Xenopus tropicalis: one gene and its partner. The protein of the gene in region 1 purifies or fractionates together with the protein of each later gene. This does not show direct contact. Links are inferred from orthologs where the notes say so. Each region holds a gene or a part of one and is shown in the gene's direction. Other genes may lie near its edges.

Evidence for each region.
Region 2: the proteins of retinal rod rhodopsin-sensitive cGMP 3',5'-cyclic phosphodiesterase subunit delta (region 1) and rab28 purify together in Homo sapiens (affinity purification with mass spectrometry; 3 studies listed by BioGRID and IntAct, with this or other methods). This does not show direct contact. The link is inferred for Xenopus tropicalis from reciprocal best matches to the Homo sapiens genes PDE6D and RAB28.

Annotation. Positions count from the first base shown.
Region 1 is NC_030681.2:101,172,285-101,188,699, reverse strand, and holds the start of retinal rod rhodopsin-sensitive cGMP 3',5'-cyclic phosphodiesterase subunit delta, read left to right. Parts: upstream 1-6,311; 5' UTR 6,312-7,337; coding exon 7,338-7,384; intron 7,385-16,415. UniProt on the Homo sapiens protein: Promotes the release of prenylated target proteins from cellular membranes. Modulates the activity of prenylated or palmitoylated Ras family members by regulating their subcellular location.
Region 2 is NC_030677.2:27,320,767-27,336,460, reverse strand, and holds part of rab28 (ras-related protein Rab-28), read left to right. Parts: intron 1-7,564; coding exon 7,565-7,668; intron 7,669-10,725; coding exon 10,726-10,803; intron 10,804-14,839; coding exon of another isoform or gene 14,840-14,929; exon of another isoform or gene 14,930-14,934; intron 14,935-15,694.

The DNA of each region.
Region 1 (16,415 bases):
TTCTACATGCAGCAGGCTGAAAAAACCTAATCACTGATTGATGGCAATGGGTTACAGAATTTTCCAGTGTTACTAAATGAGCCCTATGGAAGGAAAAAGGAGCAAATATATGGGGTACTATATTAAAAAGTCTAACATTTTCTTAAAAATGTGCCTGCTTATGGGTTGCTATAAGTTACTAGACAAGTAGCAAACTCTAGACCGTTATATTACATTTGAAGAAAAAAGGGCATATAAAATGTAGTCATTCATTTCAGAAATCAAATCTACTACCCCAACATGTGAGATCCAGTTGAAGATAGATTTGATCAATTTTTGTATGCTTTCTGTTGAATATTATCTTTTATAAGCATATACATATGTATACTTATTTTTTGGATATTGTATTCACATGTCTACTACTCCATACTGCACTCTGTATACTTTTCGTGTTTAATAAAGGGATTCTGTCATGATTTTTATGGTATACTTTTTATTTTATAAATTACACTGTTTACATAGCAAATAATATGTGTTTAGCGCACTAAGATGGAAAACACATTGGTATATAGTTGGGAAATCAGATTTGGATTTTGTTTCTTTACGCATCATTGGAAATAGTACCCAGAGCACTCAGTTCTTTTATTTTCCACCATATTTAGGATTTACACCCTACAAAAAAGAGTTGTGCTTAATGAGAACCAGTCACTCACTTTGCCAAATCCTCCTCCCAGCACAGAATAGAAAGTGTAAGTAAAGGTGGCCATACACGTTAAGATCGCCAAGCAAGAGGATCTTCTCTCGATATCCCCACCTACGGGTGGGCGATATTGGCGAATTCAGGCTAATTCGGTCGTTTGGCCCTGGGGATCAACGAGCCGATGCAGTCCCCGATCTGACTAAATTTTTTAATCTATAAGTTTTTAGGTCAGATTTTGGTCCCTATCGGTCTAAGGTACTGATATTGGCAGCTAAAATCGGCCTGTGTAGGGCCACCTTAAGTGGACATGCTGAATGGGTCAGGCCTTGAAAACTGAGCTGGGGGTCTCTTGGTATCAGCTTTTCCTAGTGGAGAAAAGAGACTTTATTTATAGTTCAGGCAATAATAATAGGTAATTTAGCACTACCAGCATTAGACACAGTATAGGTGACTAGACCTGTAAGAACTTTGTGCCTTTTTTTTTTTTTACAACCCCACCATATACAGTTACAGTGACCCACCAGCATGTAATGGTACAGACACCCTCAACCTATTCTCTACTTCCTGTTCTTCTTCTTTTCTTATGTGAAGGCGCAGTGCTTGAATTGCTGAATTGAATTGCTCTGGACGAAAAGTCTTTTTACCAAATGTCACTTCCCAACAGTTGAGGTCTCTTGCCCTGTCGCAGGTGTCACCCGGGCATGGGCTGGTTACCCAGTGCAAAGCCAGGTACATATCTCTATAGTCAGTTATAGATAAATCTTCTTAAAAATGGTAGGGTTTAAGGATATATTTTCTTTTAAGCTAGCAGGTACTGTGATTATTTTCAGAGCATCCATAAGAGAAGAAGGTGCAGCAAGCTACCCTCATACATTTCCTATGTAGTTAGTTTATCCGCTTTCTTATACTAAATGTTCATATGTTTCAAGTCTGTGATCAAAGCCTAACATATCCAAGCCCATTAACATTGCTTGTTATGCCCATGGGATGCCATTTACTGTCATTTGTTTGTGTGGGAGCTGCCATAAGCTCAACATGCAGGTCTCTTTTACCTACAGTGTAAGATAAATATACGTTGAGTATTAAACCTCCCCATTAAACTCTAGCACCACTGGTTTGGAATCTACCCCAGAATATGATAAATATACTCTTAGGTGCAGGGTAAGGAAAGAAAACATTATTTGTTAGCAGAATTATTTTTACTTTTAATATCAGTCACATCCCACTACTCTCCTTTTATTTATTTCTAATACATCTCAACAGGGGATGATTAATTCTTGCTTTGCCTCTGGGTTGTGCCTTCACTACCTTGTAGGATTGGGCTGGTGGCACCAGGAAAAAACCCGGTGGGCCACAGCAACCCAAACCTGATCCCCCTGGCCACTCCCCTGGGCCGCCGGTCTTCCTCCTCCAACATGCTAAAGGTAAGTTTAATTTACACACACTCAGGGAAGGGAAGGTGGCTGGGCCCCTGCAGGTTGTGTGGAGGCCATGGTGGGGGCCCCTTCGGGGGTGCAGCGCCCACCAGGGCTCTTGCACACCCCAGTTCAACCCTGTCTAATGGAATGCATGGACACCAACCAGGAAGATAAATCATAAAATTACTATCAGGTCTCTGCTGGATTCTACTGGGAAATAACAGAATTTCAGAAATATTCTATACTTACCTTTTTTCTATGCTTGTGAGCAGGGTACAAGCTCACCATTGTGTTCATAATGTTGTGACCAAACATTCTTTGCTCTGGGTTCCTTAATCACTTTCTGTTGCATATATTGTTGCTTGGAAAAGGCACTATGCCTTGAAAACATTTGTGATGCTGAGAAGTTAGATAGGTGAGGGGTCTGTACCCAATATTAGCTGATGAACCCATACTTATGGTTTCTCCTTTGCAACAATGTGCTTAGTAGTATTTCAACACAATGTAATGGGGCACTTATTGGTCAAATAGTAAAGTGTGATTTTGGAGTAAATTGATGGCAAAGCTCTGCACCCTTGAAAACTGTTAGGAACACGTTACACGTTTTTTTTTTTCATTTCCGCAATGCACTGCTGAATAGTTCTACAGTAGTACTATGGAATCTTGGGCTAAACATATGGCTATAAAGATCTGAACCTTTGAAAACCCTCATATACATGTTTTGTTACATGTTGTTGTTCCCTATTATAGTTGAAATCTGATTGGGCAGATACATTTTGACATAGGCATTGGAACTGCAGGCCCAAAAAATGTTTATTCCCATGCACCAATCTTGCCCTCATACCTGTCTTTATCATGAATCATTGGTAGTTAGTGGGGTTCCCAAATACATTGCTTAACAATAGCTTCTAATGTGCTTCTAATGACATCCCCTACAACAACTAATTGGGGCTCCTCTGAATACAGGGGGTGGTTGGACTGGACAGTCCTTGATAAATGAAATAGCCACATCACGCCACATGTATTCAGAGAAGCACACATCATTTCCAATTGCAAAAAGTGCAGTGTGCAGTGAACATTTCATGATGTCATGTGCATTGTGTGCATGTGGGATGACGTCAAACAACACACCCCACCAGAATATGGACGGCGCGATTTGCATGTCACAACAATCCCCTGGGGTTTATAGCTCTGATAATGTATATAGTTGTGTACTCAATTACAGCCATAGCAGATTCTGAAGGAATGATCCCTTAATTATCTGACCACATTCTGCGCTCTGACCTGCACAAGAGAAACAGGGCATTCTCCCTGTCTCTGGTTAAATAGCATCTACAGTGGCTTGCAAAAGTATTCAGCCCCCTTGAACTTTTCCACATTTTGTCACATTACAGCCACAAACATGAATCTATTTTATTGGAATTCCACGTGAAAGACCAATACAAAGTGGTGTACACGTGAGAAGTGGAACGAAAATCATACATGATTCCAAACATATTTTACAAATAAACAACTGCAAAGTGGGGTGTGCGTAATTATTCAGCCCCCTTTGGTCTGAGTGCAGTCAGTTGCCCATAGACATTGCCTGATGAGTGCTAATGACTAAATAGAGTGCACCTGTGTGTAATCTAATGTCAGTACAAATACAGCTGCTCTGTGACGGCCTCAGAGGTTGTCTAAGAGAATATTGGGAGCAACAACACCGTGAAGTCCAAAGAACACACCAGACATGTCAGGGATAAAGTTATTGAGAAATTTAAAGCAGGCTTAGGCTACAAACAGATTTCCAAAGCCTTGAACATCCCACAGAGCACTGTTCAAACGATCATTCAGAAATGGAAGGAGTATGGCACAACTGTAAACCTACCAAGACAAGGCCGTCCACCTAAACTCACAGGCCGAACAAGGAGAGCGCTGATCAGAAATGCAGCCAAGAGGCCCATGGTGACTCTGGACGAGCTGCAGAAATCTACAGCTCAAGTGGGGGAATCTGTCCATAGGACAACTATTAGTCGTGCACTGCACAAAGTTGGCCTTTATGGAAGAGTGGCAAGAAGAAAGCCATTGTTAACAGAAAACCATAAGAAGTCCTGTTTGCAGTTTGCCACAAGCCATGTGGGGGACACAGCAAACATGTGGAAGAAGGTGCTCTGGTCAGATGAGACCAAAATGGAACTTTTTGGCCAAAATGCAAAACGCTATGTGTGGCGGAAAACTAACACTGCACATCACTCTGAACACACCATCCCCACTGTCAAATATGGTGGTGGCAGCATCATGCTCTGGGGGTGCTTCTCTTCAGCAGGGACAGGGAAGCTGGTCAGAGTTGATGGGAAGATGGATGGAGCCAAATACAGGGCAATCTTGGAAGAAAACCTCTTGGAGTCTGCAAAAGACTTGAGACTGGGGCGGAGGTTTACCTTCCAGCAGGACAACGACCCTAAACATAAAGCCAGGGCAACAATGGAATGGTTTAAAACAGTGATCCCCAACCAGTGGTTTGTGAGCAACATGTTGCTCCCCAACCCCTAGGACGTTGCTCCCAGGGACCTCAAAGTAGCTGCTCATTTTAGAATTCCTGGCTTGGAGGCAAGTTTTGGTTGCATGAAACCCAGTGTAAAGCCAAACTGAGCCTTCTGTAGGCTGCCAGTCTACATACAGGCTACCAAATAACCAATTATAGCTCTTATTTGGCACCCCCAGGAACGTTTTCCATGCGCGTGTTGCTCCCCAAAACTTTTTCCATCTGAATGTGGCTCACGGGTATAAAAGGTTGGGGATCCCTGGTTTAAAACAAAACATATCCACGTGTTGGAATGGCCCAGTCAAAGTCCAGATCTAAATCCAATCGAGAATCTGCGGCAATATCTGAAAACTGCTGTCCATAAACGCTGTCCATCTAATCTGACTGAGCTGGAGCTGTTTTGCAAAGAAGAATGGGCAAGGATTTCAGTCTCTAGATGTGCAAAGCTGGTAGAGACATACCCTAAAAGCCTGGCAGCTGTAATTGCAGCAAAAGGTGGTTCTACAAAGTATTGACTCAGGGGGCTGAATAATTACGCACACCCCACTTTGCAGTTATTTATTTGTAAAAAATGTTTGGAATCATGTATGATTTTCGTTCCACTTCTCACGTGTACACCACTTTGTATTGGTCTTTCACGTGGAATTCCAATAAAATCGATTCATGTTTGTGGCTGTAATGTGACAAAATGTGGAAAAGTTCAAGGGGGCCGAATACTTTTGCAAGCCACTGTAGGTATCCAGTTTTTGTGCAGTTAAGAGAATTTTTGTGTCGCCTCTCCCTACTAGCTCTCCTGGCAGTGTTTCAATGCCCACTTCCTCTCAGTTTATATTTGGTTTTTCAGTACGTAGTTCCTCCCATTATATAAAATGTATTTTGTGAGTCAGTACCCACTGCCTCTCATTATATAATATAATTTCGGTGCCCCTCAGGCCTGGACTGGTAATCTGTGTATTCTGGTAAATGCCTGATGTGCACTATAAATTATTACATTAACATTTATTTATAAAGCGCCAACATATTCCGCAGCGCTGTACAATATGTGGGTTACATACATTGGACATACAGAGTAACATATAAAGCAATCAGTAACCGATACAAGAGGTGAAGAGGGCCCTGCCCAAAAGAGCTTACAATCTACAAGTCACTATTTATTGGGGAGGGGGGGGGGGGCTATTTGGGCCTCTGTATAATAGAAATGCCATGTCCTATTTTGAATCACAGTCCGGGTCTGTAAACTATGGTTGAATAAGAGGGGGAGAAAATTTGCGCCAGTAAATTTAACCTAAAATAAAAAAAAATAGAATCCAGTATCTTCCCAACTATGTAGTTACTAACAGTCATCATGTAATGCATTAAGTTACCTACACGAGTTGTGAACATGTGAACTTGTGCTCTAAATTGCTTTGCTTCAGTAAGTAAACTTTGCAAGATCACCCAAACTCAATTATTCTCTATTACCACCTGGAACAAGTAGCCAGTGAATGTATTTTGACCCTTTTCGTGTCCCGTACAACTTTCCTCCGTTTCTATGCAACATGAGGTTCCTCAAATTAGTGACGCGCGAGCACTCAACCAGACTTGAAATCGATTTGTCCCGCCCTGCGTGCGACGTTCTCTCTCTCCTAATTGGTGCGTGGCGATATCACTCAGCAGGGATTCCGACTGTGATTGGCCGGTGCTAGCATTTTTTGTTGAACTGTACTAAACGTCATAGGGCAAATAGGAGGAACTGATGTAGCTTAGTAAATCTTCTTAGCCAGATCCTGTAGACGAGGAGCTAGTTGTTAAATCCATGCTGACATAACGAGTAGTTACTATACGATTCCGGAAAGCAGTGCAACATTGTAGAGTTCTTCCCAGTGCCGTGGCCCTGGGACCTCTGTGTTACGGAAAGCTGATCAGGGCGTCTGTCAGAGGCAGAATCCACGCTGCTCGCCTCCAGGTGCAAGTAAAACTGCAAATTCTGTTCAGGATTATTACTCTATGTGGTGGGTGTGATATAGGTGTGGAACTACTACTTAATGCATAGAAGCTGTTTATGCTGCTAGATTACCCCAGCACCGACCTACCTGCACTATGTCTGGCCTGTACAGCCTACCTGTGGTCTGACTGGCTGATATCGCTTGCCTGTACCCTTTCTGGCTCAAACCATCTACCATTGCAGTTATATTTTGTGTATTGTCCATATCATCAATTGCTGCAAGGGCCCCAACTCACCTGCCAGAATTGGCACTTGGACACATCTCAAGATATTGCATATTAAAACGTGTATGTACTGAGAGAGTGAAGCTACTGTTGGATCACCTATGATTGCTTGTGCTGGTTGCTGTTGCTAGCACTGGCTGAAATGGAATTACTCTGACAGTCCAAGTTAGGGTTAGGCCACACCTATTTTATTGTCATTCTACTGGCCAGCGAGAGACCGTCATGCATGTACTTTCTGAAATTTAAATTAAACAAGACTTATACCAGTACTGTTCCAAGACCATCGTATTTAATTTTAAACCAAACTAAACTTTTGTTGTGTCAGTATGAATCTTATGCAGGCTTAACAAACCTGGATCATCTACAGAGGCCAGAAGTCTATTGTAATCACTGTAAAACTCAACACTGGCTTTTATAGCTTTTGCATAACTAGGACCGGAAAACTTGAACTGTATATCTCAAGGGATAATCCTTCAACTGATAAAGGAAATCAAGGACAGCATTCAACATGTCTCAGGATGAGAGAGCCAAGCAAATCCTAAAGGGATTCAAACTGTATCCAACAATAAGGGTGTAAGTGGAAAAGAGCATGTTATGAGAAAGTGATATCACAATTATGGGTCCCTTGGTGTAGGTCAGGTGTTGTAAGTATAAGATATAAATTTAAGTCAAAAAAATGAGTGGCGTCTGGTGATTCAGGCTTTATTTTTTTTTATCTCAGTGTTGCATTGATGACCAGCCTCTGGCCCTCCAGCTGTTGAGCTTTCAGCATCTCTTGGAAGATTAAAAGTGATTAGTGATTAGCGCTTAGGGAGATCTAGTCCAGATGGCAGGCCACAGGTAGGACTTCCCTGCAATACGGCATTAATGCAAACTATCAGCATGGTGTGACCATATGTGATATACTTATCTATAGGTTTATATTTGGTGCTAGAACATTAAATGCATCAAATACACACACTATTGGGATTCAGAGACGCAATAAACACCTCAAAATTTGTATAATAAAATACTACAAAAAAGTGCAAGTCTGCATCAGACCTGCTTGTTTAACAGACAAACAACAACTGCTGGCATTATGAAATAAGCACTAGATCGGTTACATTGCAGCCATTTTGTATGGGTTAACTCTCTGTATGGATGATTTACTAAGATAACAACTACTACATATCACCAATTCAGTTGCTCATGACAACCTATCAGATATTTGATTTCATTTTCTCAATGAGTGGTTTTTTTTTTGTTTGAATTCATGCCATAGGCAGAGGTATATGATAAGTGGCTTCTATAAGGTTTTTTTGATCTGAAGGGGTGGTCATTATTACAGATTGCTAGGTCTATTTCTATAGAAGTAGACTTATTTTTGATGATGTGGTTAAGGTCTTGTATGTGTTGTGTCTTTAATGGGAAAGAAACCTTGTCATTGGGGTAGGGGAAGTGTTGATATGTAAATTCCCCTCTAAGTGAATTTAATCACTGGAGTCTTTTTTTATTTAATAGACATGAAGCTGCGGGCCAGTTTGGGTGCAGATGGAGAGGGGGGGGGGGTGCAGGTCGACAAGAAGTCGACCCCGACATCACTACTGGCTTGGGAAACTTTCTAAAAGTGGTTCAGCTGTGCCTTTCATAAACTTAGATTTGAGCATGTGTAATAGACTAAAATCTGAAAAAATAAGGACACAAAGGAGCATCGGTCTGAGGAGATAGTATAGTAATGTAATGCACTGGGTAGTGCTTTACATTTTGGCAGCCCCTAGTATATATAGGATTCTTAGTCTTTCCATGTGTCTATACACAGACCGATATAGGCAGCCCACTGGGCCCTGTATGGAAGCTAAACTTTTTAATTTGTCTGGTGCTGCCTTAAGCACTGGACCTTAGCTCCAGGGTCAAACTGGACTACCAGGATATCAGGAAAAATCTCAGTGGGCCCAGACCCTGCCACCCAAGCCCTGGCTGGCAAATGCCAGAGAGGCTGCTGTAAGATGCCATAGACAGTCACTAGTGGGTTGATGGGGGGCTGTTTGGTTTGGGCATCTCTGCCTGAAATGCCATGGCCTGTTTTGAATGCCAGTCTGCCCGCAAGCCCCAGCCATCACCTCTCCCTGCTTAGCTGTGCTACTTATTTTGCTGTTTAAGGAACAGTTTAGTAAAAAATGAAACTGTGTAAAATAGACTGTGCAAAATGTTATGTCCACTCAAGTCACTGATTGGTAACTGACTGTTAACAACTTAGGAGGAGGAAGTAGTGTTCTGGCTACTATGTTAGACATCTGCCTACATAATACTTTATAGATTACATTTTCGGCTAACTAACCATATTGAAAACATTTTTTTATTTTGCACAGTCTATTTTACCCAGTTTCAGTTTTACACTGAACTGTTCCTTTAAAAGTTAAAGATGGGCATAAGTTCTACTGTGGAACGGCCATCTTCCGGAGTGGGAACTTGGTGAGCTAGGAGCAGCACTGGCTGGGTGGTGGACCCCTTAAGTCAAGTACCCAGTGGGCCCCAGTCACTCCAGTCAGACTCTGCTCAGCTCACTCCCTTTCTTCCATCTTTTGATAAGCACATGAACAGGCAATCCTACTGTACTGAGCATGCACTGATCGCTAAAGATCAAGTTCTCCCTCAGTATCACTGCTGGCTTTTGCCTTAAGTATCCAGCGGCGGGCTGCAGAGATTTTCTTATTTTGGGTGCTTAAATATGACTTGACTCTGCTTCAACATCGCAGCCTGAACAAACCAGTGGATTTTTATATGTGTAGCTAACTACAGGTAAAATTTTACCCTTGCATTTTTCTTTTGCAGTTCTGCTGAGTAACTTTTTTAAATTAGATTTTGTGTAGGGATGCAATGAATCCGCTATCGTAAATGTTTCGGCCAAATACCAAACAGTCTGAATACTAATTTGTATTCGTAAATTAGGATAAGTAAGGGTTTAGAGCCGTGTTTGTGACCATAAGTAATGTGATTTTGAGGATTTGGCTCGGCCAAGAGTGTGGATTTGGCTGAATCTTGGCCGAGTCCCGAATCAAATCCTGGATTTGGTGCATCCCTACTTTTGTGGGTCAGATTTAATCCTACAAAATCTGATATCCATAGGTTGTGATGTAAACTTGTACCAGTGCAGTTGAGCACCTATGTTAGTAAATTACCCCCACTGTTTTTTTTTTTTTGTTACTTCTGTTTTTGGTATTTATTTATTTTTTCTAAGAGAATAGCTATAATACTTTCATAGAAAGCCACATTCTTGGAGAAAAGGAGAGCTCACTTGTGCCTGGACCTACTGGGAATTTTCCCTTTTGTCGTTTGGTTTAGTTAGACCATATAACTTTAGAAAGCCTACCAAGATGAAATGCATTGGGCAAAGTATGTATTTGGACCTGTGGAGTAAGTTTGGGGACACAAGAAATGTACAATACCACCGCTAAAGGTAACAAAAAAAAAAAAGCTTGCAACTGAAGACAGAAATGGCAAGCTACACAGAGCCCCTTTTAACACCACTGTTTAAAGGAGGATCACACAGAGACACATATCACCTTTAGAGCATTAATACTATTATGGTAGGATGACTTTCATTTTTTTCTTAGATATGTTATCTGGAACATTTATAGTAGTGATCTAAAGTTTTGTTTTTTTTCTTTCAAAGTGTTCCTTTACAGCAGGGATCCCCAATCATTTTGTAGAAGTAAACCACATTCAAATGAAAAAAGTTTTGGAGAGCAACATAAGCATGAAAAAAGTTCCTGGAGGTGCCAATGAGAGCTATAATTGGCTATTTAATAGCCCCTATGTCAGGGGTGTCAAACTCAATCACATAAGGGGGCCAAAATCTAAAACACAGACTAAGTCGTGGGCCAAATTTTTTATTAATATACTTAGTAAGATACTAAGGGGTATATTTATCACAATGTGGTGATGTTGCTCATAGCAGCCAATAGATGCTTTGCTACTGTTGAAATCTGATTACTGATTGGTTGCCCTGGGCAACATTACTGGTAATGCTTCACTCCACTTTTTACACAGCATGATAAATATACCCCTTAGTCTTAGTTACTATGTGAGGAAAATGGAAATTGATCAGGCTGGATGGTCAGACTCACTCACCAAGGGCCACATAAAACAGCCAGGTGGGCCGCATTTGGCCCCCGGGCCTTGTGTTTGACATATATGCCCTATGTTGACTGGAAGCCTACAGAAGGCTCTGTTTGGCAATTACACTGGGTTTTTATGCAGCAACTGGGAGCAACATCCAAAGGGTTGGCGAGCAACTTGTTGCTCACGAGCCATTGGTTGGGGAACACTGCTTTACAGTATATTTAAGGCATACACCAGTTTTTCTAATTTTTACTGTAAATTGATTCGGGATTGTGAGTTACCCCAAGGACAACTTGGCTGTGGTACAGCATGTATTCTGTTTTGCCTGGTTAAAGAAATTAAAATGTTTTTTTTTTTCTTTTTAAGAGAAAATATACCTGATTTATCAGAAATGTTTATTGATTATAGTGGTTGGACAAATTATGTTATAATAGAGATTAGATAATACATGTCATTATGATCGTAACAAGATTACATTTAACAGTATAACAGTATAAATAATAGTTCTAACTGAAAACTAGTATGAATAGCTAGAGTGACAAAATGTTTTCCCATGTTGGATTAAATTAGTTGTCGCTCAGGTTCGGTTAGGAATTACAGCTGTATTTTGGTCTGCCAACGGGCTTGGTGGTAATTTATGCTTTATGCCATAGTCCCTCAAGCTGCACTGGTAAGAGGAAGTAATGGTGTAGTAGTGAGGCAATGTCTAGATGGCCCTGGCACCACCGATCATTTATTTACAGGTACTGCTGAAATAGTGGTTGGCGATGATTCTGTACTGAAAAAGAAATGTAAAAGGTTACCTTTACAAAGGCATAAAACTACAGTGTTAAAAAATAATTAAAAAACTTAATAGGTAAACTTTTACATTAGGGCAAAGGCAGAAGGTGCAAATGTTCACTTCTCTCAGCCCTGTGTTTTTTAGTCAGGCTGAAAAAAAAAAAGTGGTATAAAGGTGATACCTTTATTGTCTAACTAATATAATCATAGCAAGCTTTCAGAACATTTTAGTTCCTTTTTCAAGCTTAATGTTCTGAAAGCTTGCTATGATTATCTTAGCCAATAAAGGTATCGCCTTTTATAACACTTTTGTTTTTATTTCAAAAGGGTTACCCTGTAAACATTTTGACTGGCTAGCACGGTACATCACCTTTTCCTGCACCTGAAAAACATGAAAGCATTCGTTTTTCAGACTGACCTCCGATCCTCTTCACTCTGTGTGCCCACACTGTAGTTTATTGTGCAGGCAAGGAGATAAGCTTCTTTCAGTCTGACTGAAAAACACAGGGCTGAGAGAAGTAGATATACGCACTGTGCGCCCTTGTCCTTTTTATGTACATAGATTTAACATTACGTTCTGTTTGTGGTTTGGGAAAGTGGCACAACGGTCTCTACACAAATAACCTAATTTTATCATAATCATTAGTTTCCCTTTGGAATGTTATTGTATTTAATGCTCCAATATTTATCGAGGCTTAGTGTAATATGGAAAATACTAGAAGCTCCATCAACCAGTATCAAACAGCCACAAGTGGTCACAGGGGCCTCTAACAGTATAAATAGAATTTCTCTTATTGTTGTTGAATTGACTCCAGACATTGACTGTAGAACTGTGCAATGTGCTACACCAGTTACAAATAATGACACACTGATACAAACTCACATCAGCAGATGGGCCTTGCGTGCAAGGGCTTTATTTGTAGAATTCGGGGAATGGATGAAACCAGAGGTACATGATTTTTTTTTTTTTCTATTGCTGGGAAATCAATTTCTTGTTTGAAGTTTGTATTTCTCTGTGCTTTTCTTGTTTGCTTTCTATTAAAATGAAAAAGGTAAGCAAAACAATACATTTTTCTTCCAGCTTCCGTTTTGATTTTGTATTCGTTTGTAGAAAGCTAGATTATTCTGACAGCTGCTCGCTTTTTCCGCCACCATTTTTATATTGCCAGAGATTACAGTATGAGAAACATTTAGCATCTTTGTCCTAAGCCTTCTAGGATCTGCAGTGTGACAAGGCATTTAGTGGATATAGAAAGTCTACACACCCCTGCAAAATGGCAGGTTTTTGTTAAAAAAAAAACAAAACAGAAATCCTGTCAGAACTTATTCCACCTTTATTGCAAAATTGCGATCTATACAACAAAGTTGAAAACTTGCTTGAAGCACCTTTTGATTTTATTAAAGCTCTGAGTTTTAGCACTTCTGGACTTGGCAGTTTTTTCTGCCCACTCCTTGCAAAAATTTCCAGATCTGTCAAATTGTGAGGGCATCTCCTGTGCACAGCTCTCTTCAGGTCAACCCACTGATTACCAGTCAGATTAAGGTCTGGGCTCTGGCTGAGCCATTCCAGAACATTAATACTCCTTGGGTGAAGCCATTGCATTATTGATTTAGATGTATTCTTTGGGTTGATGAAAGGTGAAGTTCCTCTTTATCTTCATCTTCCTAACGGATGTTTGAAGGATTTGGAACTATGCATGATCCCATCCACATTGCCTAAACACCAGTTCCAGCTGAAGAAAAGCTGCCCAAAAGCACAATGCTGCCTCCACCATGCTTCACTGTGGGTATAGTGTCCTTGTGATGTGCTGTGTAATTTTTGCACCAAGTATATCTTTTGGTATTATGGCCAGATAGTTCAACATTGGTTTCATCAGACCATAATACATTTTTTTTCACAAGGTTGTGAGGGACTGGGTATACCTTTTTGCAAATTTTAGGCAGGCTTGGATGTTTTTCTTTGTGAGTAAAGGTGGACATACACGTTATAATTGATATTTCCTGTGATCAATGGTCGCTTGTACCCTCCACTAACGCTCAGAGCTGAATCTTCGGGAATGGAGGTAGAAACAATAGGAATTCTACCCCTATCTGATGATTAAGCCCTAAATGATTGCCTTTGCTTGGGTGCCTTCAATGGGGGGGCAATCAAAATTGTCTGTCCCACCTGATCGACGAGACAACGAATATACAAGGATTTTGCAATATCGGCTCGTTAATCCAACATATCGCACCATAACCTCATTTTGTACGATAATATTGGCGTGTGTATGGGCCAACTTAAAGGCTTTCGTCTTGCTTTTTGTACCCCTATCCTGACTGATACCTTTCAATGATGAGATCCCTTATATGTTTTAAAAATTCTTTGTGGCTTTTGGAATATGAGACCAAGAGGAATAATCCTATGCCTGTAGCCAAACCAGGGTCGGACTGAGCCGCCGGGACACCGGGAAAAATCCCGGTGGGCCCTGGCAGCCCAGACCCGACCCTTGCCGGCGCTCCCCCTCCTGAACGCTCCTCCCCTGACGCGTCAAATTTATGCGCCCGGGGAGGACGTCGGGTGGGGGCCCTGCGAGGGGGGGGGCTAAGGGGGCCCCTACGGGGGGGGGGGATTTGAGGACGCGCCCGGATGAGTGCACCTGAAGGGCCCCTGGGACCGGAGTCCCGGTGGGCCCTTCACAGCCCAGTCCGACACTGAGCCAAACGATATCGGATTTCTGTCAGAGCCATTTTGATGTTAGGTGTTTACAAACTACTATTTTAAGATGAGAATAGGGGCCAGATTCCTTAAAGTACGAATCCGAATCGCAAAATCTGATAGTTTCTGATGTTTGCAAAAGTCACCAAATTTCAGTTCGTTTGAATACGAAGATTTTGTACTTACGATCCGAAACTTTCACATTGAAACAATTGTCAATCCGATAGGCAAGAAATTTTCATATCCGAACGATCGTAAACGGCGGGAAAACCTTTCTGACTGTGGTGCTTCTGCTTTTTTTGTTTCTCTAAAAGAAGCATTGGGCTTTGGGTTGCCACCTGTTGCCTTATTAAAGTAACTCTGGGCAGGGGGTGGCTTTAGATTTTAGGACATGGGACTGACATTCTTTGACATTCTGGGATGTCCTGTCCAGATCTCCTAATTTGGAAAACCGGGCAGGCAGTTTTCACCTGGACATTCCCTCTGAAACCTGGACAGGTGACAAACCTAATCTGGGAAAAACACATAGCAATTTAAAGGACAATGAAAGCTTAGTTCACTTGGTGGTGACAATAAGTGAGGCACCACCACTCAGTTGAGCTTTCATTGTCCTTTATAGGAGAAGGAAAGGAAAAGTAAGCCTAATCCGAAAGATCTATGTGAATACAGCCATAAGCATTTACAGTAATGCTGCAAAAGAAACACAGCTCTTTTCTCTTTCCCCTTTCCTGCTCCCCCTCCCACCAAAACTCCCTCCCCCCTCCCTTAGGAATGTGTGATCTGAGCTATAGCGGCTAGACTGGAGGCAGGAAGCTACTTAAAATGGCAGCTGCTATCTTAAGCAAACGGAGAAAGCTTCTAAGGCTGTTTACTCAGGTATGTTAATACTTTGTGCAGAATAAATATATTGCTCTAGGTGGCACTAATGTGGCAAATCTCCTTTAAATCCCCAGTTTCAGTTTAATGCATTTAACTGAAAAGTAAATGATGTGCATTCAGCCTACAGTCAGATTAATGCCAAGCCTTTGTGCTTGCCATGCAATAAAATGCAAAAAAAAAAAAAACAACTCTTTACGTGTAAGGCAATGTAGTGCCAAAGAATGTCTTGAGTTAAATGCTGCTCCTTATTTCAAAGCCTAACATAAGTTGAAGCTTAGGAATAGGAGGGGCTCCATATCATAGTTTGAAAAACTTACTTTGTTTTTTTATCTCCAGTCCTATTTATTATTCTCCTGTTCAGCAAAATTGTTAATGTGCATACTTTCCCTTTAATAAGTCTTATTTAAGAGGTAGTATACACTGTCCCTAGGTCACTTTTTCTTACTGAATTTGAACCATTGTACTACAACTTTACGGCTGTTAACTTGAGAGTGTTGTTAATTACAAAAGCTGAATTTTGTTGTGGATAGGTTTTGATCCTTTAGGATGATTGTCCACACATTTTAAAACGCAGTGGAAGATTCGGTAGTTGTCCAGAACACACTATCGAAGTTACTTGATCTCTGAAGCTTTATGTCTTCTATCAGAAACTGGTCAGTTAATGGTGTAAAACAATATGGTTCACTTACATTTCCCTTTGCATCTAGCATTAAATATTGATTTTAATTTGAGTCATGTTTGACAGAGGTCCCCAACCGCCGGGCCGCGGACCAGTTCCGGGCCGTGGACGGCATGGCAGTGGGCCGCAGCGCACCCCCCCCCCCCCCAGCCCGTTGCATGTATTACGCGCCGCGCCCCGCCCCCCTCCCCTTTGCCTCCGGTCCGTGGAAATTTTTTTTTACCTCCTACCCGCCCGTGGTGCTAAAAAGGTTGGGGACCCCTGATGTATGATATATTAATGTGTTCTTTCTTCTAGTGATGTGTTGCTGTGGTTTAAATTAGAAATATGGAGAATGCTATATTCTAAGGATTTGCTTTCATATTTTGACTTGTCATGTATTGTACTTGCTAGGTTCAGTGGCCCTGGTAACTGGAAAGAAGATTATAAGTATTGATATGTTGTTTTTC
Region 2 (15,694 bases), on another chromosome or scaffold:
CAGTGATTAATCTAGCAGTGTTGAAGTAACAAGCAGTGGCAATATTTAGATCATTTGGGTTAATTTGGCTGTCAGTCATTCAATTGGCCTCTTATACCTCAGTGCCTCTGCTTATGTTTTCCAATCAAAAGGTTAAGGAGAAAAAAATGTAATGTTCCATATTAAGGCAGCATAAACCAACAGTAATTACATGTCACTCATAATAACTGTGAAATTGCCCCTGTATCAATGAGCATTCATTAAATATACACAACAACACTGAAAGGAGCACTGGATCCAAAAAAACAGATTTGCTTAAACATAGATGTTTGTTATCCTTGAGCTTTAGACAGCCACACGCTAGCCATAAACCTGCACTAAACACTAGAAGCACAGAGTTATATCTATTTAGTTGTATTGTAATCCTGTTTATTGCCAATGCGTTACTACGGGATCAGTTAAAAAAGAATCACATTTGCTATTCAGAAGATGGTTTTTGTAAAAAATTCCTCTTTTGAATGTATCAGGAAAAAATATTGTTACTAGGTATACAGGTATAGGATATATAGTCTGGAATGCTTGGGAGCAAGGGTTTTCCAAAGGAATCTCCATACTTGCTACAAATCACTTAACCATTCAATAAACAGAATAGGATTGTTTTTCCTATAGATTATGCAGCTTACTTACCATTGTGCAAAATTATCCCCCCCAAAACACTTTAATTGAATTCAGCTGACAAGCGTCCCTCAACTCTGGCCCTAGTTACCTGGATTTCCAAAATGTCCTGCATGGATCCTGTCAGACCCATGTCTGACTTGGGCACAGCGACCTTCTTGGCCCCTACTATCAGACTTTACAGCAACAAGTTAACTTCTTTTCCTGATTTGGGAACCACAAAACTGGAAGTGTCATCCCTCAACTTGGTCAGGGGGAAGAAAATATATTTTATCTGTAGGGGGCGGTAGATTAGACCCTGCATTTTACCTCACCTGCATAGTCAAGGAACCAGAGACTTTTCACCCAAAACCAGACCACTTTGTGTGTATTCCATGGGTATCAGATTTGATTCAGGACTCTATTACAAGGTTGGATGGAAACTTTTGTGCCACTATATCTCAGTTTATTTCAGTGTAAGTCTATGGGGGGTAGTTTCAGCCATTCCTGCTGCCTTCCATTTGGGAAATGCCTGACAGCACCAGTACTAGAATATTTTTCTCAAATGTACCAATGGTCAAAATGCCTTATTTGCCATAGCCCTTAGATTTTAATTTTGGAGTTTGTGAATTCGAGTTGGTTTTTCTAACGCTTATTTTTTAATGTTGTAAACTCATTTGAATAAAAAAAAAAACTTGAATACATCGAATTTTTGAGTTTACAAACTCGACTAAAACTCAAATATCTTGAAAATAGGGCTTGACTTTTTCTAGGACAACTCCCATTGACTTCTATAGAAACTCTCAAACTTTTAGATGAAGTTTTACATTCCAATTTTCAAGCTTTTTAAATACCAGACATTCAAGTTTTTGAACCGTAATTCAAATTAGAGGGTTTTTTTTATATAGTAAAAAAAAAAAAAAAGCATGAAAAAAAAATCAAACTCAGACGTTGATGATTCACGCCTTTAACATCTGGTGATCCAAATTACAAAAAGATCACTTATCAGTAAACCCCAGGGAACCCCCAAACATTCTGGATAACAGGGCCCATTTTTATTGCAGAAAAAAACTGAGATCAGAGAAAAATAATAAGGAAAAAGTTACTCTTGTTTTATATTAAACATATTGAAATATATATACAGGTATATGATCCGTTATCCGATATCCAGTTATCCAGGAAGCTCCAAATTACGGAAAGGCCGTCTCCCATAGACTCCATTATAAGTAAATAATTCTAATTTTTCGAAATGATTCCTTTTTTCTCTGTAATAATAAAACAGTAGCTTGTACTTAATTCCAGCTATGATATAATAAATCCTTATTGGAGGCAGAACAATCCTATTGGGTTTATGTAACGTTTTAATAAATTTTAGGTTTTCCTGTCATGTGGAAAACCCCAGGACCCAAGCATATATATATATATATATATATATATATATATATATTATATATATGCACATATATACACACACACACACACACACTTTTTTTACCATAACCCTATAACCATGAATTCATTGTTTTAGCTCACAATTTGTCATCTGCATTTAGAATTATTGAACTTTTAACTAGTAGTTGGCTTAACTAATGATCACTTGTTTATCCCATTTTTCATTTACTTGTAAGTGCCCTTGAAAAATGTGCGTATTTAGCAATTTTTTAAGCAGTAGATGGCAGTTGTCTAGGGACATCATGTTTTTCTACTGTGATAAGAAAGTATACATTTTAATGTAAATATTATCATTGATACCATTAGGATTTTGTGCTTTGTAAGTAAACTCGATCCATCTTGACATTTCTTCCAATTCGTGGGGTCTTGAAATTTCTCCATTTTTCTGTATAATAAATAGACACAGATGGTTTTCTTCTTTACTAGGGTGTGTTGGAAATAAGGCACCACGGCCCACCATTAACTGTAAGGCTTTAATGGCAGTTTCCTCACTGTCCTGCAGTCTTGTTTCTGCTTGAGAACTTCTGAACTTGTGTCTGCACAATGTAAAGTGGAATGGATGTTACAAATCCTGGAGAATTGTATTATACACACAAAGCTCTGACAGACTTAAGTCTGTAAATCTGATAAAGGGATGTAATCATTATTTGTTTCAGACAAGCAATTGCGTGTGATAGAAACCAGAAAAACCAGTAATAAAATGAGGTAACAAGTTATTTCTGCATGGTCTCTCTACCTTAGAGAGTCTTTAAGAGTTTGTTTATGGCACCAATTCATACACAGAGAAGATATATTTTGTTCATATATGTCACAAGTTAATCCGGCGTATTTTAAATGGAAAATGAAGTGTGTGAACAAATGTAATAATTCACGGTTGACATTTATTGTAGCTCTACCATTCAGCTTTTATAATTTATTATGTACAGATACAAACCACAATTAAGTGGTTTTATTTTAACTAATAATAGCATTAGTGGGATTTCCTTTTTACTTACAGATCTTTAGAGGAAAAATATTTAGTGTCAAAAACCTTTTGCATAATGAAATAAGATGTAATTAGAAAAATGGCCCAATATACATTTTTTAAGAATTTTCAGTGGTTTTAATGTTACTGTAAATTTAATAGCAACTGAAAGCAGTATTTGTTTATCTCTTTCCGTTCTCTGATTAAGACTTTTGAAACTTCATGGGCCGATTCTAGCTGCTGATATCGGTCCCTTAGACCGATTTGGCAGCTAATTGCCCTGTGTAGGGGCACTAACGATGATCGGACAGGTTAAAAAATTTAGTCTGATTGGGGACCGCATTGGCTCGTTGATGCGGTCCCCGATCCGACTTCGCCTATACCCGTCGTTCTAATTCGATCGTTCAGCCTGGATTCGCCCGATATCACCCATTCTTAGGTGGGGGATATCGGGAGAAGATCCGCTCGCTTGACAACATCGCTGAAAGCAGTAAGTAGTGTTCTGATCATTATGTTAGACATCTGCTCCCTCCAGCCTTTATAGGTTACATTTTTGCCCAACTAACTATATTAAAAATATTTTTTATTTTGCGCATCTATCTATTTTACCCAGATTCATTTGTGCGCTGAACTGTTCCTTTACGTGTAGAGAATATAAAAAGATATTGCTTTCAATAGCAGTTACATTTAAAAATAACTTGAATGACATTGAAACATTTTAAATAATGTATACCACGCGGCCACAAAAAATTTACAGTCGTGATTGCTCATGTGGCCTGAACATGCTTAGAAACCTGTGCCACTATAATTAGTTTATACCCACAATGCAGCATTTTTCCAGATGGTGTAGTTTTAGGTGTGATACTGTTTGTGTCCTATTCCTTTGGTGCATCACTGCGGAGAGCCTGAAGCTATTGCCTATTTTGGAGGTGGTATTAGATATTATTATTATTATTAACATTTATTTATAAAGCTCCAACATATTCCGCAGCGCTGTACAACAAGTGGGTTTCATACATTGGACATACAGAGTAACATATAAAGCAATCAATAACCGATACAAGAGGGGAAGAGAGCCCTGCCCAAAAGAGCTTACAATCTACAAGATAAAGATGTAGTGATGCTTTGTGTTGCCCTGGCATATTTCAGTAACAATCCCCATCAGCTAATTAAATCTACAAACTATTTTGATTTTCTTGCTCAAAAACAAAAATCCCCAGAGTATACCAATTACAGACCTCCAATATCATTTTTTAAATAAAGCTTTTTATAGAGTAAGTGGACATTTTTAGTTGATAATCGAATGACACCATTATGCAGACTTACTAGATTTGCAAATTTACAGGTTTTTACAAGCCAGTAGGGTCCCTTCCTCAGGAAATCAGTTTAAGTTTTTTTCCCTATACTTGCTCAAAGAGCCTGGTTGTCCTTAAATGCTTGTGAATATATTTGCCCTATAATTTGACAGCATTGAGTCAACACCATTATAGGGACTGTACGCAATAAAAACAGAAACTGTTCAATGTAGCTTCCAGTCACCTCAGGATCAGATTTGGAGAAACTGGAATGTACACAATAAAACCTGCACACTGCTTGAGTACCATGCCCTTTGCAATGAAACATGGCATTGTTTGTTAGGTTTGGCTCTACTTCCAGTGGGTATATAATGGGAGAAACTAAATAATATACCTCACACTTGAATTATGCATTTTCTGTTTCAGAGCAACATTTTTGGAACACAGGCTTATAGGATTAACATTTGCCCTTAAAAATAAAGTATGTTGACTGCTGCAAGTGTTTCCAAAAAGCTTACACGGCATTTCCTTGTTTTCCTAAACTGACTTATAGTTGGAGTTAAATGCATTTACAAAACTGATATATTTTCATTTGGTATTGAGTACTAAGGCAAGGCGTGCTTCCTTTTTCACATATTAGTTATAAAGCTACAGCATAGCATGTGCATGCATTGCATAAAGGACTATCTAATTGTGCTCATTTATATGTTTGGTATTTTCATGCAATACTATACAGATAGGGTTGCCACCCTAGCCGGTAAAACACCTGCCAAGGCCGGGGCTGGTATTACAAATTTACCAGCAATGTAGCTGCCAGTAAATCTGTAATATCCTTAAGTTCAGCCCCTGGCCCACCCCTTTAACCCTCAATCTGCCCAGAACCCGCCCCAAAGGGGTTGAACTTGATGTACTTTGGTCTTTTTGTAACCCAACTTAACTACGTAACTGCATTGAGGTTTGCGGCTACCATCTTGGTTCTCTTTTTTTTCCCAGTTTTCACCAACCAGACACATGTGCAGTTGAAATGAGGTCCATATAGGCAACTGTGCATACCCCTCTTTTTCTTGCTCAGGAGGCACTTAAGGGCTATGTTGAAGTGCCTTCTGATTATGAAACGTGTAAAGTTCAAGGGGCCTTAGTGGATTCCTCGTGTCCTTTCATTAGCTCCTGACTGAAGCGCAATGGACAAGTCTGTCACAGAGTATGTATATGCAGAAGTGGGAAAAATATGGAAATAAGTAAAGCAGAGTAGAAAAAATAACTCAAATAACAAATAACTCTGTTACATTCACACACGCACAAGGGACAGTGTCATTAGAAGGGAAAACGGCCTTTATCTCTTGGAGTATAGGGAAATGCCTAGGGGAAATTCACACAGACACAGAAAACATGCATGCAAATAGTACTCAGGATGGCAAGGCAGCGGTACTAACTATAGAGCCGTCATGCTGCCCATTTCTTACCCATCACTGGCTTGTATGGAAATGTATACATACAAATATAAGAAAGAATTCTAAGTTCCAGATCAGAACGCATTATGGCATCATTCTTCAGTCAAAGTGCTCACGTCCCAATGTTTCCAGAGATCCTGTTTTTGACCACACTGACGGATCTTCACTTTTTTTATGATATGAATATAATCCTTACTAATAATTGGTATATACATTGTCACTGATTACTAAGGTCTGAAGCAGTTCCAGCTATATATAATGTAGGATAAAGAAATCATTTTATTCTTCACACCTTAGAGTGTGGCCATCCCTGTTTCTCTCTTTACTCTTCTAGCTGACACACAGCAAACACTATTTGCAGTATCCATGTTAATAGAGCACAAAATTGTGCCTACTGAGATATTTTTATTGAAAGCTAATAACTTTAATTAAGCATAATTGACAAGCATGCCTGGATATTTTTATAAGACATAATATATTTAATTAAGCATAATTGAGTAATTCAGCCAATGCTTAGTCAATTAACAAGCAAGGAGTTTACTCTTTCTACATGTTAAAAAGCAAATGCTTTTCAATTCACTTGGCAAGAAGAGCGCCTTTCTACTACAATGAACAGAATGGTCATTTTTTGCCTGTGGTTCTTCTCTGGGCATAGCATTACTGTCAGTGGAACTAACTTACTTGCCAAGTAGGTTTTCAAAAATCTTTAAATCCTTATTTCACCTCAAGCCCCCAAAACGCTTAATTTAAAATGATATTATGAAAAGGACAGATTTATACCTACTCTTCCCCATCTTCAAGTCCATACCCTTTGTATATTCATCACTATTCTACTAAGGTTTTCCTTTAGATTCCACAAAATCTATCTCCCACCCATCTGCCCCTCTATCTGGGACATTATTCTTATTTTATCATTTTTCTTGTCTATATTTTTGGGGCAGAAGCACTTTCAAAAGACAGCCCTTAGCAAGTAGTGGATTTTGAATTTTCTTTTAGTTTTATTTTTTTTTCCTCTTATTCACAAAATAAATTTGTATGTGACTATAATTCCTTTTCCTCTCTTACTTTGCCACAGAGACTTCTTGTTAGTGCTATCCTCTTTATTCTCTGGTATTTTCTTACTCCTAAGCATTCTTAATTTTTTTTCATGTAAATACAGGTATGGGATCCATTATCCAGAAAGCTCCAAATTACAGAAATCCTGTCTCCCATAGACTGAATTTTATTTAAATAATTCAGATTTTTAAAATGTATTTCCTTTTTCTCTTTAATAATAAAACAGTACCTTGTATTTGATCCCAACTGAGATATAATTAATCTTCTTTTGATGCAAAACAATCCTATTGGGTTTATTTAATGTTTTATTGTTTCTTTAGTAGACTTAAGTTATGGAGATCCAAATTATGGAAAGGTCCCTTATCTGGAATACCCTTGGTCTCGAGCATTCTGGATAAAGGGTCCCATACCTGTATTTGGACCTATGCCAACATCCAGTTCCTTTTTGGGTCAAAAAAATTGCCAAAAGGATTTCTATTGTCAGTATTACCATACACTACACCAAACTGGGCATCAGTCCCCATTTATAAGGTCTCAAGGGAATGTTTGGAATCATCAAAATACATTTCATTGCTTTGCCATAATAAATTTCTGATTTTTATATGTACATAAACATACACATGTATTTGTTTAATTAGATGACTGCAAAGCAAAGCTAATGCTACAATTTATGTATATGTGCCTAGATTAATACATCTGTTATTCCTTTTTAGTCGACTTGGAGCACATGCGAACAGTAAAAGCTGATAAACATCAGAGGTTCTGCCAAGAAAACAACCTAGGAAGTTATTTTGTTTCCGCAAAGACAGGAGATTCTGTAAGTAAAAATATGACAACATCAATATTGTCATTTGTGTTAGAACAAAGCTTGGAATCTGAAAGTGAAACTAGAAGAAAAATGATAGAAAAGGGTGTAGACTTATTGAGATGACCATGATAATACACATTTCTGCTTGGTTTTACAACTGGGTCATAAAAATGAAAATCTAAAGCCAAGGGAGAAAGCTTTGTGTAGTGAAGAAGAGGATATAAATTGTTTTTCCTGAGGAACTAGTTTTATTGGAGCTTTCTAAATTAAAAGTCAGATTGATTGTAGGAACAGATGCCTTGTGTCTAAAGGTATTTAGAGATTAGGATTTCTCAGGGGAGCACCTACATGCAACAGGGCCCTTAACCTTATGTTTCTAACAAGTTCTGTATTTAAGCAAACTACACTATAATAACCAAGAAATAAAGGAATGCTGTCTATGTGGAGTTGGCAATGGCAAGAAAAAAGTTTTGATACAGGGTTGAGGTTGAAATAGTTGTTGTGGTTTCTGGACCTAAGTTGCATCACCAGAGACTGTATTCTATGGGAAAGGACCGGGGCTGTACGTTCGGTACATAAATGCTTCAACTCCAACACTAACTCTTCAGTTTATGGTACCTCCAACTCCTCTGTTTTTAATATACAGATATAACAAACTTGCTCACTAGGAAGCTCACGCACTACCCTGTTGGCCATCCAAGCCTGTCACCACCAACATAAATGAGGATCCTGTTCAAGTTTGTGTCTAAATCTGTAACTAAGCCTGTGACATTGTGGCTCTTTATTTTATTTATTAAATAAACTACAAACATTCCCTAAACCTAAAGTGTGAACAAAAGACAAAAATGAAACCAGTAAGGTTATAATAGCTGAGCTGGACTTAACACTAGTTACGCACTGGCCTTCATTCTTACAACAGAGAAGTACTGTATTATGACTATGTATTATCTCTGAAATAGTACATTGTTTTTTTCATGCCAATTTAAATTTATTAGGAGTCGGAACATTTTTGCCTACTCCGACTCTAGGCACCCAAAATGGCCTCTGATGCCACAGCTCTGGAAAGGACAGTTAGGTGATGCCTCAGACCTGTAAGACACCCCATAAATCCCCCTTACCCTATTGTAAGAATTATTTTTGAAAAGTAATAACACCATAATGCTAACATAGTTAATTGAACAAACCGTAGGGAGAATTCTGCTGCTGCCTGACTCCAAAGGAAAGAAAAATTACGGTATGAGAAAGTTCAGCTTTTCTTACTTGCTTCATTGTTCAGCAGCACCAAAAAGCCTCATTTACAAAGCCCTTGGGAGCAAGAGCACAAAAGGGCTCATGAGTGAGCCCAGTGCTTAATTGTTTAACTAGGACCAACTCAGCTCTGCCTCATATTTACTAAAATTATTTTCTAAAATCATTTGTTAAAATGTTAACCAGTGCAATGACAGTATGCCTTTAAGGTGGTAAAAATCCAGCCGTTAATTTTCAAGTGCTTTTTTCAGCCAGTAGTACATCAGCGTAGAACAGCGGGAGATGACAAATCATAAACTGATGACTTGTGACATATAAACTTGGACTTCATCAACAGACCAAAGCCGCCAGTTCCATCAGTAAATCTTTAGGAACCAAACATTAGTAATCATGTATAAGGCAACTGTTAAACTTAATTGTCCATGACAACAAATAAGAAACACGGAGGACTGGCAATACAGTATTAGGGTGGATGCATGTTTTTCTTTTTCATTTCAAAAGGCACCATTTTTGGTAAGCTGATGAATGCAAGCTTTTTAATTATTATGATAACACCAACCTTCAGTGTTTACCTTATTTTTAATTAAATGTTTCTCTTTCCAACTGTTCCCCTTATTTTTCCTTTCCTTGGATTCATAGGTCTGTTTGGGCAGGCCCACAGTTGCACATAGCAGAGCTAATAGCAATTTTTTTTTTTTTTTTTTTTTTTAAAACCTGTTTCATCTACATGTGTTGCTTTATACATAAAATACATATATCAGTATCACGTCTAGCACAGAACAAATGATTGGTTCGTTTCATTAACAGAAAAGGTAAAAGTAAGAATATTGTACTACTGGCTGGAAAGTGAGGCTGTCCCACAAAAAAGATTAATCAGTGAACATTATCTTTGAAATCTTTAAATACCACTCCTGTTGTCCAAAGTTAATATTGAGGCTGCAGCATCCCCTTAATCACCCAGGATTCTTTCTCCTCCTCTAACCCATTTGGCCCCTCCCTCGGGAATTGGCTTTGGCTCTTGGCTTACTGAGCATGCTCAGTTTTTTCAGCTTCAGTTTAGCAGGCAATAAAGACATGGCATTGCTGGTTCCCACAGAATCTTGCTCTAGCTGTCTGCTCTTATATTTTATCCAAACTCCTCTCCTGAACTCAGGTTAACCATTACAGTGCTCAATCCAAGCAGGACCTTTTATCAGTAACTAAGTTCTGCCTGTGTAAGCCTGCATTCTTCATTGCAGGAACCAAATAAGTATCTTTGCGCACATGTGCTGTTTGCAGATGTAAACTTCACTGATGATGTGTGAGAGGAAAAATGGCCAGCAGTTGAAATTTGCTATTTGCTTTAGGAAAATGTGATTGTGCTTGTGAATATGGTGCAGTTGTATATGGTGTACCACTACTGAAATCCCTGGTCTCAAAGCTGTTTATTTGTTGTAAAGAGTGGGATTAGAGAATCCCTTTGAAGGTTCTTTTAAATGGGATTTCTGTGTTTGGAGCCTTTCAAGGGATTTTTCACTATCTGTAATATGTGGAACAAAAAACAAGGCACCATTTTTTAACCTGCCCTTAAAATATCTGGCAAGCCATCATATTGCTCCCAGCCACGGCCAATAAGCTCCCAAGTTGGCCTTGAGTGCCCAAGTTGGCAGCCACTGTTTGTCTGTGTATGGCTATCATAAGGTATTTTAAGGACTGGGGAGTAGAAATTCAGTGTTTACATGTCGACAGTGTTTACAGTTCAGGAAAGACTTGATGTATTTGAAAGTAACTAGAGGATGTCTGTTTTTAATCATTTAAACTCCTTTTTTCCCTTTGTAGGTTTTCCTGTGTTTTCAGAGAGTTGCTGCTGAGATCCTTGGAATCAAATTAAACAAAGCAGAAATTGAACAATCTCAGGTAATAATCCCACCAATATTTGCCCCCATCCCCCCAAAAAAATATATGAATATTAGGATGCTGCAGTAAATTTTTTTTTTATTTGCAAAATATAATTATGTTCCATAACTTCCAGTGATAACACTAAGGGGCTGATTTACTAAGACACGAATTCGAATCCGAATTGGAAAAATTCCGATTGGAAAACGAACATTTTGCGTCTTTTTCGTATTTTTTGCGATTTTTTTTTTTGGCGCCTTTACGACTTTTCGGAAATTGTCGCGACTTTTTCGTTACCAATACGATTTTTGCGAAAAAACGCGAGTTTTTCGTAGCCATTACGATTCACTCGTATCTTGTCGCGACTTTTTCGTATTGAGCGCTCGTAAGCGGCGGCCGAAACTTTCAGACTTAGCATGATTTTGGAAGCCTCCCATAGGACTCAATGGCACCCTGCAGCTCCAACCTGGCCCAAGAAAAGTCACCATACTGAAGCTTGAATGAATCCGAACGCTATGAAAAAATCGCAACATTTTGCGCAACTTTCGGAATGGCTACGAAAAAGGCGCGACTTTTCGCGCAAGTTTTAACGCTACGAAAAAATCGTCAGATTTTGAGCAACATTCGGATGGCAACGAAAAAGTTGCGATAATTTTCCGAAAAAATCGCCAAATACCGATCGTTACGAAAAAAAACCCCCCCTGGCATTCGGCCAGTTTGTGAGTAAGTAAATGGGCCCCTAATAGTGTTCATTCTTACCTATAGCCTCATAGGCATCACCTGGTATATTTTAACTAAAGCATTTTAGTTTAATGCAGCTTGTTACAATTAAAGGTTATGATGAAGGCATAATATTCAGCAAATTAATCAGATTTGTCACTCACAAGAGAGGGTGTGGCCAGCCGTAGAGCTGTTCACAAGAACTGAGTAATACTCAATTTTGTAGCTCTAGTTGTGCATGATATGATTTTTTCATACAATTCTATGCCTATTGTATACCAAGATATCTAAAGGCAATGTCTGAGCATGTGATGTTACATTGCACAACTGAAGTAACAAATTATAGTGTATGCAAATTCAGGGCTTATCCCACCTTCACAAATCTACAGATAAAGATGTATTATAAATTATAATACTTATTAAGGCCCATAGACCGCAATGTTTACAACTTATCTCAGCTAACCTATTGTTTCTCCTACTCCCATGTAACTGGAGGAGTCCCAAGCCGGACTTGGATTTCTTACTATTGAGTGCTATTCTGATACCTACTGGGAGCTGCTATCTTGCTCCCTTCCCATTGTTCTGCTGATCGGCTGCTGGGAGGGGGGGTATCACTCCAACTTGCAGCGCAGCAGTAAAGTGTGACTGAAGCACATGTCACGTGGCTGTGGTACCCTGGGAAATGAAGAATATGGCTAGCTCCATGTGAAATTTTGAAATTAAATATAAAGAAATGTGTTTGTGTTTTTGATAAAAGGATTTTAATGCAGGATTCTGCTGAAGAAGCTCTATTAACTGATGGGTTTTGAAAAAAACATGTTTTCTCATGACAGTATTCCTTTAAATTATGTAGTTGTCATAAAAACAGTCCAGGTTATCCTGATACTTAATGTTAACATGGATCCCACACAACATGCTTAAACTTGTTTTGTGGTATCGCCATCTTAAAATGGTCAGGGTATAAAATATTGTAAGACAACAATGTCATGGATTCCCCGTGGCATATTCATATATAATAAATTGTCTTGAATCTTTGTAATACATTTTATTACATTCTTACTAATAGATACAATGAAGTTGTTAGACCCGATGACCAATACTTTCTAATTGGAACTAGTTTCAAATGCTAGTTTCTCTAATGCTCACAAAAAAAGGAATGGCAAGTATTTAAAAATAGGATCCATAATATATACAGTAGTAAATATAACCTACGCTTTATCATAAAATCTCCTGGCTGTAGACTGTAGATCGTAAAATTAGTAATGATTAATGTAAAGATTACAACAAAGGAAATGAAGTAAATAAGCAGTAGTTAATTACATTTTCCTTGGTGACCGCATTTTAGTGTAAGTTGAAACAATTTTTATTATTGCAGAAAAAAAAAACGTTGCATTTGGATCACAGCCTTATAAGGACTTTTTATTAAAAATAAATAAATAAATAAATATATTGAATTCCCTTAATTACTAAAATAAGGGGATAGCCATAGCCCAGTAATATTTCATTTAAAAGTCTTTGCTTAGGGAATAAGAATTTGATTACTTTTTGATCATTCACCACTCAGAGCACTATAAGTAGTAGTAGAGATATGTTAGAGATAAATATTAATAGATAGAAGTGTTCTGGTATGGGATCCGTTTTCCAGAAAGCTCTGAATTATGGGAAGGCCATTAAATAACCACATTAAATGCATCTCAATCTTATAAGGAGCAAGCTGCATCTTTGTGTATAAGGTTGGGACAAGACGTATCCAGTTATTAACATCCTATGAATATGAAAAGCCTTTGAGTCTAATAGGACTTTAGCATCATTCATTTACTGTGCTGACCCATGGCCAGCCCTACAGGCAGATGCCTTCAGCCAATTACATAAGAGCATTTTTCTCAACCAGATTCAATTAGAAGAATAAACTGAGTTTAGGCTTGTCAATATTTGTTATTGCCCTAAATTTCTATAGTGCCAACTTAACCACATTAAATGCACAGATTTTAACAGAGATTGTTAAATGATTGCTTCACTCCCTGCATCAGTGGAACTTACAATGAAGAATCAAAGCTTTGAGGTATAAGTCAGCATTTGTTCACTTACCTTTGACATCCTGTGAGTGCTTCCACTATATTTGTGTTTATAATTACAGTGCTAGCAGCCATTTTCACTCAAGACAAAGACTAAATAGTTATAGCCATTGGTCCAATAACTAACTTAAAAAAAAAATCTTTCAGCGCTAGGAGTGCATTTCATACTTAGCAGCAAAAGCCATCCAGTAACTGTTTTCTAATTTCTAAATATGGCCCTATAATGTCAATTTTATCCTTTTGAAGACCTAAAGGTTTGTACGTTTGTATGTTTTAATTTATAAAAAAGTTGTTTTTCATAACTTTCACACATTCATTTCATTTTCATCTTCTGTTTCTTTATATCATTGTTTTTATATTAGTTCCAATTGAAGGCACTCAAATTTTGTTTCTACTCACTTCCATACTGACCAAGCTCAGTAGCATCAAACTCTTTGTGGGCAAATATTTAGTCAGGTGGGCACAAAAGCAGTTCATTATATAAGAAGAGATATTCTCATCTAGGGCTTTTGAGCCTCCAATGAACCTTGGTATTTCCCATCACACAAATTGCCTCAAATTAGCCTAAGGCAGAACAATAAAGATAGGACAGTTGGTTTTTTTTTCCCAAAAAGCTTTTTAAATCAAAATAGAAAGTATAGAAGCATATCATTTTTGCTAATGTTAAAGCTGGGATAAAATGTGCTCTTATAATTATTATCCCTTTACAGCAATGTCACACATGACAGACACTTTGTCGTCCAAAGTAAATCTGTTACCGTAGAAAATACCCCTAGTTTGCTTCCCCTTGGCAGTAATGTGAATTGCTGGTGGGAAAACACGTCGTGTTTGCTTCCTGAAGTTGCGTCATGAAGTAATTTTGGGCTACTTCCCGACGCATGTGTTTTCCTGGTAAGACATGATGGTGTTAGAAAGGAAAATTTGCAAAGCTTAGGGATTATTATACAAATATATTGTAACTGGTTTGCTTAAAATCATGGGATATCCCTGGAAGTATCTTAGCAGTTTCACACAATATTTCTATTTGACATACAGAAAGGGAATATAATTAAAAAAATATATGGTACTTTGCCTTTAATATCTTTGCCACCTGTTGGACTAAAACATATTAAAATGTTTTTATTTACTTCTTTGTGTTTTCTTTTTTTTCTGTTCATTTAGATTTCATCCTTTCTTTAACCATTTAATTGTATTTCTTTATCTCTTTTTCTTTATTTTCATGCTGATTGTTGGCTACCATACTTATTACATCTGCCTGGCAGCGTATTGTAAAGGCAGAAATTATCAACTTTCCTGAAGAGCAAAATCCAGTCAACTCCACAAATCAGAGTAAAATTTGCTTATTACAGTAGATAAGGTACTGAACCAAACAAAGTATTATACATAAAAACATGTGTAATACAACTGATTTCTGCTAAAGAAAACAATAATGCCTTTGTGCAACATTCACAAATCTAACAGTTCATATATAACAATCTTTGCCGTATTCATAGTTAACCAAAAACGTGCAGCTGAAGAGATGTTCACCTCGGAATTGTCCTGCTACTGATCCACAGACCCTGTTCTGCTTTTTTTTATTTTCTTATATGATCGCATAATACTGGCAGCCGACTTAACTCCTAATGGCTGCATTTCCTGTCAGTCTGACATTGCTTCCTGTGCTGCAAATCTAATATAACGATATAGTGCCATTGCAAGGCAGAAATTAACCAATGGCCTTTGAATTTATGCAACTGGTTAAAGTGCACAATCAACCAATGAATTGGTCCAATAGGAACAGAGTAAGGACAAAGCCTAGACGTGATGATGTAAGCATATAGGAAGTTCTCAGTGTTTCAGGTTTAAAATAGGCCACTCCCATTCCTTCAGAATACTGATCAGAGAGACAGAAAAAGGACTGATTTAGCAGATGTAAAAAGCTTTTACAGGGGCCTTTTTATGATTTTCATGGAAAATGGATTTTCTAACATGCTTGAGAGCATTGTTGGTGGTTTAATAAGATTTGGATATTAAAGGTGAACAACCCCTTTAAGAACTATTTTTCCTAATAGTAAAAGCTCAACATAGTATGTATTAGCATTTATTCTCCATAGTATTGATACCACATAATTGGGAGT